Arabidopsis thaliana: one gene and its partner. The protein of the gene in region 1 interacts with the protein of each later gene in a pairwise test. Each region holds a gene or a part of one and is shown in the gene's direction. Other genes may lie near its edges.

Evidence for each region. The genes of interacting proteins can lie anywhere in the genome.
Region 2: the proteins of UMAMIT27 (region 1) and AT5G25940 interact in a protein complementation assay, tested with the Arabidopsis thaliana proteins (one large-scale study listed by BioGRID).

What each region holds. Positions count from the first base shown.
Region 1 is NC_003070.9:3,851,341-3,855,103, forward strand, and holds the start of UMAMIT27 (nodulin MtN21 /EamA-like transporter family protein), read left to right. Parts: upstream 1-1,843; 5' UTR 1,844-1,976; coding exon 1,977-2,179; intron 2,180-2,417; coding exon 2,418-2,480; exon of another isoform or gene 2,481-2,654; coding exon 2,655-2,771; intron 2,772-3,001; coding exon 3,002-3,401; intron 3,402-3,529; coding exon 3,530-3,681; coding exon of another isoform or gene 3,682-3,706; exon of another isoform or gene 3,707-3,763.
Region 2 is NC_003076.8:9,053,579-9,057,341, reverse strand, and holds AT5G25940 (early nodulin-like protein), read left to right. Parts: upstream 1-2,086; 5' UTR 2,087-2,190; coding exon 2,191-2,296; intron 2,297-2,380; coding exon 2,381-2,442; intron 2,443-2,699; coding exon 2,700-2,775; exon of another isoform or gene 2,776-2,986; coding exon 2,987-3,090; 3' UTR 3,091-3,220; downstream 3,221-3,763. Other genes in the region: AT5G25930 (kinase family with leucine-rich repeat domain-containing protein), read right to left, coding at 3,364-3,763.

The sequences.
Region 1 (3,763 bases):
ACTTCTTTTTTTTTATTCTTATCCCTTTCCAATTTAGTTATATGTAGTATAATCAGATTAATTCACCATATATAAAACCCTTTTTCAAAAAAAAATAAAAAAAATTATAAAAGTATAATAATTATTGAGCTGTTGGTTATACTGTTTTAATTTCATCGAATACTTTCTCTGTTTTGTTTTAAATGATGATCCAGAGAATTTTGTTTATCTTATTTCAAGTGATGTTTTCAAAAGTTTAAATATATTTGATTGTAACCATTTATATAATAGAATATGTTTTTTACTAGTTGAATTAGTTTTATTTTAACAATTTATATATATAAAATAAACAAAATATTTTTTTTATTATTTCTTAATTTATGTGAAAAACTTTAGATATGATTTAATATGAAAAGATAGAATATATTATATACCAATCTTGTAAATTTATTCTAGAACTAAGTCAAAACCACTAACTTTTCTTTTGTGACAACTTTTTTATAAAAAAAATTTAACATCATTAGAACCACTAACTCAATTGTTATTATATTTGGTGAATTGATCTAATTAGTAGAAGGAATATATATGTCTGCACTACTGGAGAGAAAATGCCCCGTCCATTATGTTCTAAGCCTTTTCTAGATAACTTACTGAATCTAAAAATAGCATCTGCTTTTTGTCCCTACAAAGTTATATGGACAAACTAAAGGAATGAAAGAGTTCGATATACCCAAATGGGGATAATATAATTTTTTCATCAACTTTAAAAGTTCAAATATAGAGCTAATTATACGCATTTATAATTAACAAAAACGAGATAGTGCAAAACAAGATGGATCCAATGAAAAGACAAAAGAGAATAATTAATGGATCGAATATAATTCAAAATGGGCACAAAACAAATTTGCACGCAAAAAGTTATTGAATGAGAGTTGCAAAATCTCATATAGTACTTATTTACTACATATGATTAGTTTATCTCGTTGAAAAGTTCGTGTTTTTTCCTATTTTGCACCAAATTCAACAAATCCTTGAGTCAGTCCAATTACAATTGAAAGTAAAGAACCCAAACTTGAACCTATACGACCAGACGGAGACGGGCATGCAAGTGTTTAAGTGTCATTAGATTACAAATGTTTAAGTGTCATTAGATTACACGAAGTATAGATTTAGATATACCAACTAGCTCGGGTTTGCATGACTTATTTTTTCTCACTAAACTCAGTTACATCATCTCTCCGACTCTCTTTTATGAAAATCATTTTGCTAATTAATAAGGTGCGCGGCAGATAACACGCATGATAAAGCCAATGTATCGGTTTCTCATTTACTCATATAACGTATAAAATGGAAAAGCTAATTCATCGGCGCCTCATGAAACGTGTGATAAAGCCAATGTATCGGTTCTCATTTCTACTATATAATAAATAAATAAATATAACAGTAAATATACACATATTGACCGGAAAAAAAAAAGATTGTTACCGCATGAGCAGTTATATTTGTGACGACTTCTTAAACTTAAGTATCCTACTAATTTTGTTCTTTCATTAGTTAATAATATGCTCGGGTTTGTAGTAGTGCTTTGTTCTTCACAAACGCTTATCCTATATAAAAAGAAAGTTTTTTTAGACCAGAAAAGTAAATAAAATTAAGCTAGTTGTGTGTAGGAACATTCAACTTGTTCAAATATTTGAACTATTTTGTAATTTATAATTTTACATAATGTGGAACAAGATTCTAATATTATTTAAATTGAACTTGACAGCACTAAGTTTTTTATTTATTTATTTTTGATAGAAAGACCACTAAGTTAATATAATAGAGCAATAATTCAGGGGTTTTTTCTATTAAAATGACAGAACCCAAACACAGTACTCTTTCTTATAAGTTATAAATATGGGAAGGGTGGTTGCCAAACTCAAAGTACTTTGGGTCTTAACTCTTTCTAACACACAAACTCACATAGAATTCAAGAAAGAGAGAACGAGGGAGAGATGGGTGAGGATATGCGAGGAGTGAAAGTAGTCTCAAAATGGCCACCGATGATAGTTATGGTGACATCACAAGTAGCGATGGGTTCGGTGAATGCACTTGTGAAGAAAGCTCTTGATGTTGGTGTGAACCATATGATCATTGGTGCTTATCGAATGGCTATTTCCTCTTTCATTCTGGTTCCTATCGCCTATTTTTTGGAAAGGTTTATTGATATTTTGATGAAAATAGTTGAGTTATATATTTTTCTTATGCAAAATTTTCAAAAATTTGATTATATCAAAATAGTTTTTTCATATTTACATAATTAACAACATTTACTACAATTGAAGATTGTCAGAATGCTCTATTATAACATGTAAATAAACACCACTACATGTTACTAATATATGAAGTAGATTGATATTTTCTTTCCCCTAAAGTTTATGTCTTATTGTTAACAGGAAAATAATACCGAAAATAACGTTTAGGCTAATGGTCGATCATTTCATCAGTGGTTTGCTCGGGTTTGTCTTCTCACAATTTCTTATGTTCTTTTGTCGTCCATTTTCCATTTTCCTTTTCCATTATACATTGATTGTTTCCACAGAAGAAAGATTTTCTTTCAAGTGAGCATAAAATCTTCATAAGCTAGCTAAATTGTTTTTAATCTTAGCTTAGTTTTGGGTTTAAATTTGCAGGGCGAGTTTGATGCAATTTTTCTATTTGCTTGGTCTGTCCTACACGTCAGCAACTGTTGCGTGTGCTTTGGTAAGCTTGATGCCTGCAATCACCTTTGCTTTCGCTCTTATTTTGAGGTAATTATGGAACCATCTAACTTCTTTATCATTAAAATAAGTACTGTATTTACTATTACTATGCAATGGGTTCATGCAGGATTTATTCGTATTTGTTATGTATACAGTGCATATAATTTCTTTTGTTTTTTCATCAAGCATATTATACTTCTATATATAGAAATACTCAAAAGAACCTTACTCATAAATTATCTCAAATTTATCATCTAAAAGGTTATATTACTTTTCAGAACTGAGAAGATAAAAGATCTAAAGACCCAAGCAGGAATGATAAAAGTGATGGGAACTCTAATATGTATAAGTGGAGCTTTGTTCTTAACATTTTACAAAGGCCCTCATATATCAAACTCTCACTCTCACCTAGAGGCTCTTCCTCACAACAACAGCGATCACAACACCAAGAATTGGCTTCTTGGATGTCTCTACTTAGTCATAGGAATCGTGTTGCTATCTCTATGGATATTGTTTCAAGGGACTTTAAGCATCAAGTATCCTTGCAAATTCTCAAGCACTTGTCTCATGTCAATTTTCGCAGCTTTTCAATGTGCTCTATTGAGTCTTTACAAGAGTAGAGACCTTAAACATTGGATCATCGACGATGGATTTGTGATTGGTGTCATAATATATGCTGTAAGTTATAATACTATATTATCAGAAATCTTAACATTTTTATAAATTATAATGTAGTATATATGTAAATAATTAAATAAATTTTGGGGTTTACCTAATATTACCTTATTACTATACACGTATTATAGGGAGTGATAGGACAAGCAATGTCGACTGTAGCAGCGACATGGGGAATAAACAGATTAGGAGCTGTTTTCGCATCAGCAATTATGCCAGTTTCTCTCATATCGGCTACTCTATTCGATTTCCTTATCTTACACACTCCTTTATACCTCGGAAGGTGCTCTCTTCGATCATCTCTATGAAATTTTTTGTATAGCTTTATAGATGTTAATGTATTAGGTTCATGCTCGTATTACTAA
Region 2 (3,763 bases), on another chromosome or scaffold:
ATAGTTTTGTGTATGTTTCTTATCAACTTAAAAAAGAGGAAAAGTAAAATCATATATATATATATATATATATATTATATAATTGAATTATACTATAAGGAGAAGGCAAATTTTAATTGTGTCTAAGTTACTATATATATATATATAATTATGTACATATAATTAATTTTGTATTAAATTAAATATTTGCTACCCTTTATGGAGCTTATATACCAAATTTTGTATTAAATAAAAAATAAATAAATAGTCTTTAACCTTTATAAGGTACTGAAAACCTTTAATTCGTATAAATTAATATATATGTTTTGTTTCACAATAACTAAAAAAATAAGTAAAAGTAGAAACAACAGATATGTAAGCTCTATAAGTAGTAGGAAAAATGTAATTAAGGATCCAAAATAATAATATTTATATTTTATTTGCAACCGAAAATTTTATAGACAACTCGCATTGAAAATGTTCTCAACTTGTTTTTATAGGAGGCAATACTTCTTGCGGTAGGGTTCAATTATATTGGTGCTCAATCAGGGAATTGTCCGATGCCATTTTCCAGTGGAATTTGATAGAAAATTTAAAATTAAGCATCAAAAAGTTGTCTGATGGCATTCATCGGAGTTGTCTTGAATCACCATTTTTCCGTTTCATCTCCTAACGTCTGTTTTTCACTTAAAAAGTCTCCAATTCCAGTATAACTTCGTAAAACTTGTACAAAACAACCGAAAAATACATTAAAAACGAACAAAAATGTGACAAACAACTCAAAACAAACACTAGACAAAGGACATAAGACACTAAAAACACAATATACCACATACAATTTTGGAGACACCCGCACACCGCTCTTCACCTCTTGGACTGTCAGTAACATTATGACATGACTATAGACATTACATTCACTTTCATGAAATTTACAACTACTCTTTGGATTTGGGTTGCAGAAAGATGCATACAGTAAAACAGCTCCATCAACCTCTTATGCTCATGTTTCATGCACATAAGTACTCAATTAGCCATAGGTGGAAGCTTAGACCCTGTTTCGACTTTCGAGTAGCTCGGATATATATGCATTATATCACATATCCCTTAGCACCATATTTTCTAATTTAATTTACAATATCACTCATTGCCACAAGTGTATAAAAACCATAGCAATAGAAGGGTATCAAAGTTCAAGTAACCAATTAAATTAGAACACTAGAAATACATTCTATCATCCAATCTAAGCAATCAAGTTAAATCATTAGAACAATATTGAACTACCGCCGAAGTAAGATCTCGTCTACCGGAGATATTGTCAGATTCTTGCCTCCGTTTTGTATTTGTTGTTTTGATTTGTAAAACTTTGGCTCAAGTCCAATTCAGGTATTATAATATTTTTAAAAAAAGAATATTGAACTATTAATAAAATCTTAACATTTTCTGTTGGTCCCTAGTACTTTTGATGGGCTCTCTATATCTTCGCTTTTGTATGTTTGAAGCATTAAGGCCGAATTCATTTAAAACTCAACTTCTATACCAAAAATTTTATTTTAAATTTTATGTAATTAAAATAAACTAACCAATTTTTTAAAAATTACTATTTTAATCACATATAAAATTAAGTTTTAATTTATCTTTCTATACAAAAATATCATCATTAATGAAATTAACTAATTTATTATATTTTTTTAATCATTTTTTCACTTATAAATTTTATCTAAAACTGAATCGATTAATTTCTTATATCTCTAAAGATATCCGTATGGTAACAAAATTGACTCCAAACATTTCTTAAGTCGATTTCTAAAACCGCTCCAAAAGACCATTGTGCATTAAAAATACTAAAAATCTAAAATTTAAAATATTCTCAATAACAAACATTTACGAACCACTGAATTTTATTTTATTTTAAAAATAATCTATAACATAATAATTGTTTTATCTGTTTTCTAACACAAATTATTCTAAATACATGATTGAAATACATTTCTAAATTGGCGTTTTATAGACTATAGTATTTTGACAACTTTGTTTTCAATATTGGCGTTTCATTATTTTGGTGAAAGATTCCCAACTTATAAAAAAAAAAAACGAATTTTTAATTTTCGTCCTAATCATTTATTTCCTAACCAAAGAAAAAGGCAAATCGCGACCCGTCTCTCTCTCTCTCTCTCTCCTTGAAATCGAAAGATCAAAAAAGCGACACTGAAAATGGAAAATCGGTCAGAAATGGGTAACCGGAGGCAGCAGAATCTCTTCGTCATAGCTTCTCCCGACGAGATTGCTAAGATCCATCGAGCCGAAACTTCCAAACAAGGTCTCTTCTTCTTTCTCCGTCTCTCTCTCTCTTTTTTCCCCTAAAAAAAATCTTTTAAATTGATGACTTTGGATTATGTTACAGCCGGAGCTATTGCCGGAGCTAAGGCCGCCGCCGTTGCCGCCGTCGCCAGTGCGATTCCCACAGTAATCATATAATCTCACTTATCTAAATTTTTTAAATTGAGATCTTAAATGAATTAAATGTAAGAGTTATGTTTCTTTGTTGTTGAATTTTAAGACAAAAGTGACTCACCAATCTCATGTTCTGTAATAATCAAGAGTTTCAATTTTGTTACCTATTCATTTTGTGATTTCTGAATACACCAAGTAGAGTCACATTCTTTTTGATGTGTATATAAGATATGAATTTGGTACATAAGCATGCCTTGTTTTCGTAACAGGTAGCTGCCGTTCGTATGTTCCCGTGGGCTAAGGCAAACCTCAACTACACTGCTCAAGCACTCATTATTTCTTCAGGTTAGCTCTATCAGCAATATGCCTTAAATCATTACTATATGTTCTTCCTGGAACTAAGTAGAAAAAAGATACTAGCTTTAACATTGTTGTAGAAACCTCGAACTTCCCTTTTGAACCTAGTTGAGTTTGGGGTTTTTAAGTATTCGTACATTCATTTCTCCACAATTTTCTTCTGATTTCTATCTTGTGATTATGGTGATCATTGGAACAGCTTCTATCGCTGCGTTCTTCATAACCGCGGATAAAACGATTCTACAAGGCGCAAGAAGAAACACCGAGGCTCAGTTAAAGAAAGTTCAGCAAGACTCTAAATAATTTCTCTTCTTATTGTAACACAAATCAATCATCATCTTTCTCTGTTTTGTATGCATATTTTGCCTTGATTCTTAATAAGAGTGTTATTATTATAAGGAATAACAAATTCTTTAAGACCATTTTTTATTCAGACTTTCAGATTTTGTTCTCAAATAAGTTACAAGCTGGTAGTTATACTCTTAACTAAAACTTTGCTTACACAAAAACTAAATGGTTTCTAATACATTTGTACATTTCACAAAAAAAACAACATCAAGTGTTGTGATTATTTGATTATACAAAACCTAAATCTTCATCTTCTACCCTTTTACTTGTCCTTCGACCCGATAAACTAACTAGTAGAGGTGCCTCATATGCCTCTGTTGCAGTCTTCTTCGTCGCCTCAAGTCCTTGTTGGCGCAGAACATACAAGACCTCTTTCATGGAAGGTCTATGACTAGGCAATGTGTTAGTACACATGAGACCTAGCTTGAAAACTGTTGTCATCGCCTCAGTCGTGGAAGCTTCTTTGATGTCCTCATCAAACGCCTCTGCGGTCGGTTTTCCAGATTGGTAATGTTTCCATGACCAATCTGCTAAGTTTGTGTGTTCATCTCCGTTGTTTCCTTCTCTTCCAGTCACCAGCTCTAGCAAAACTACCCCGAAGCTGTACACATCGATCTTCTCATCTACC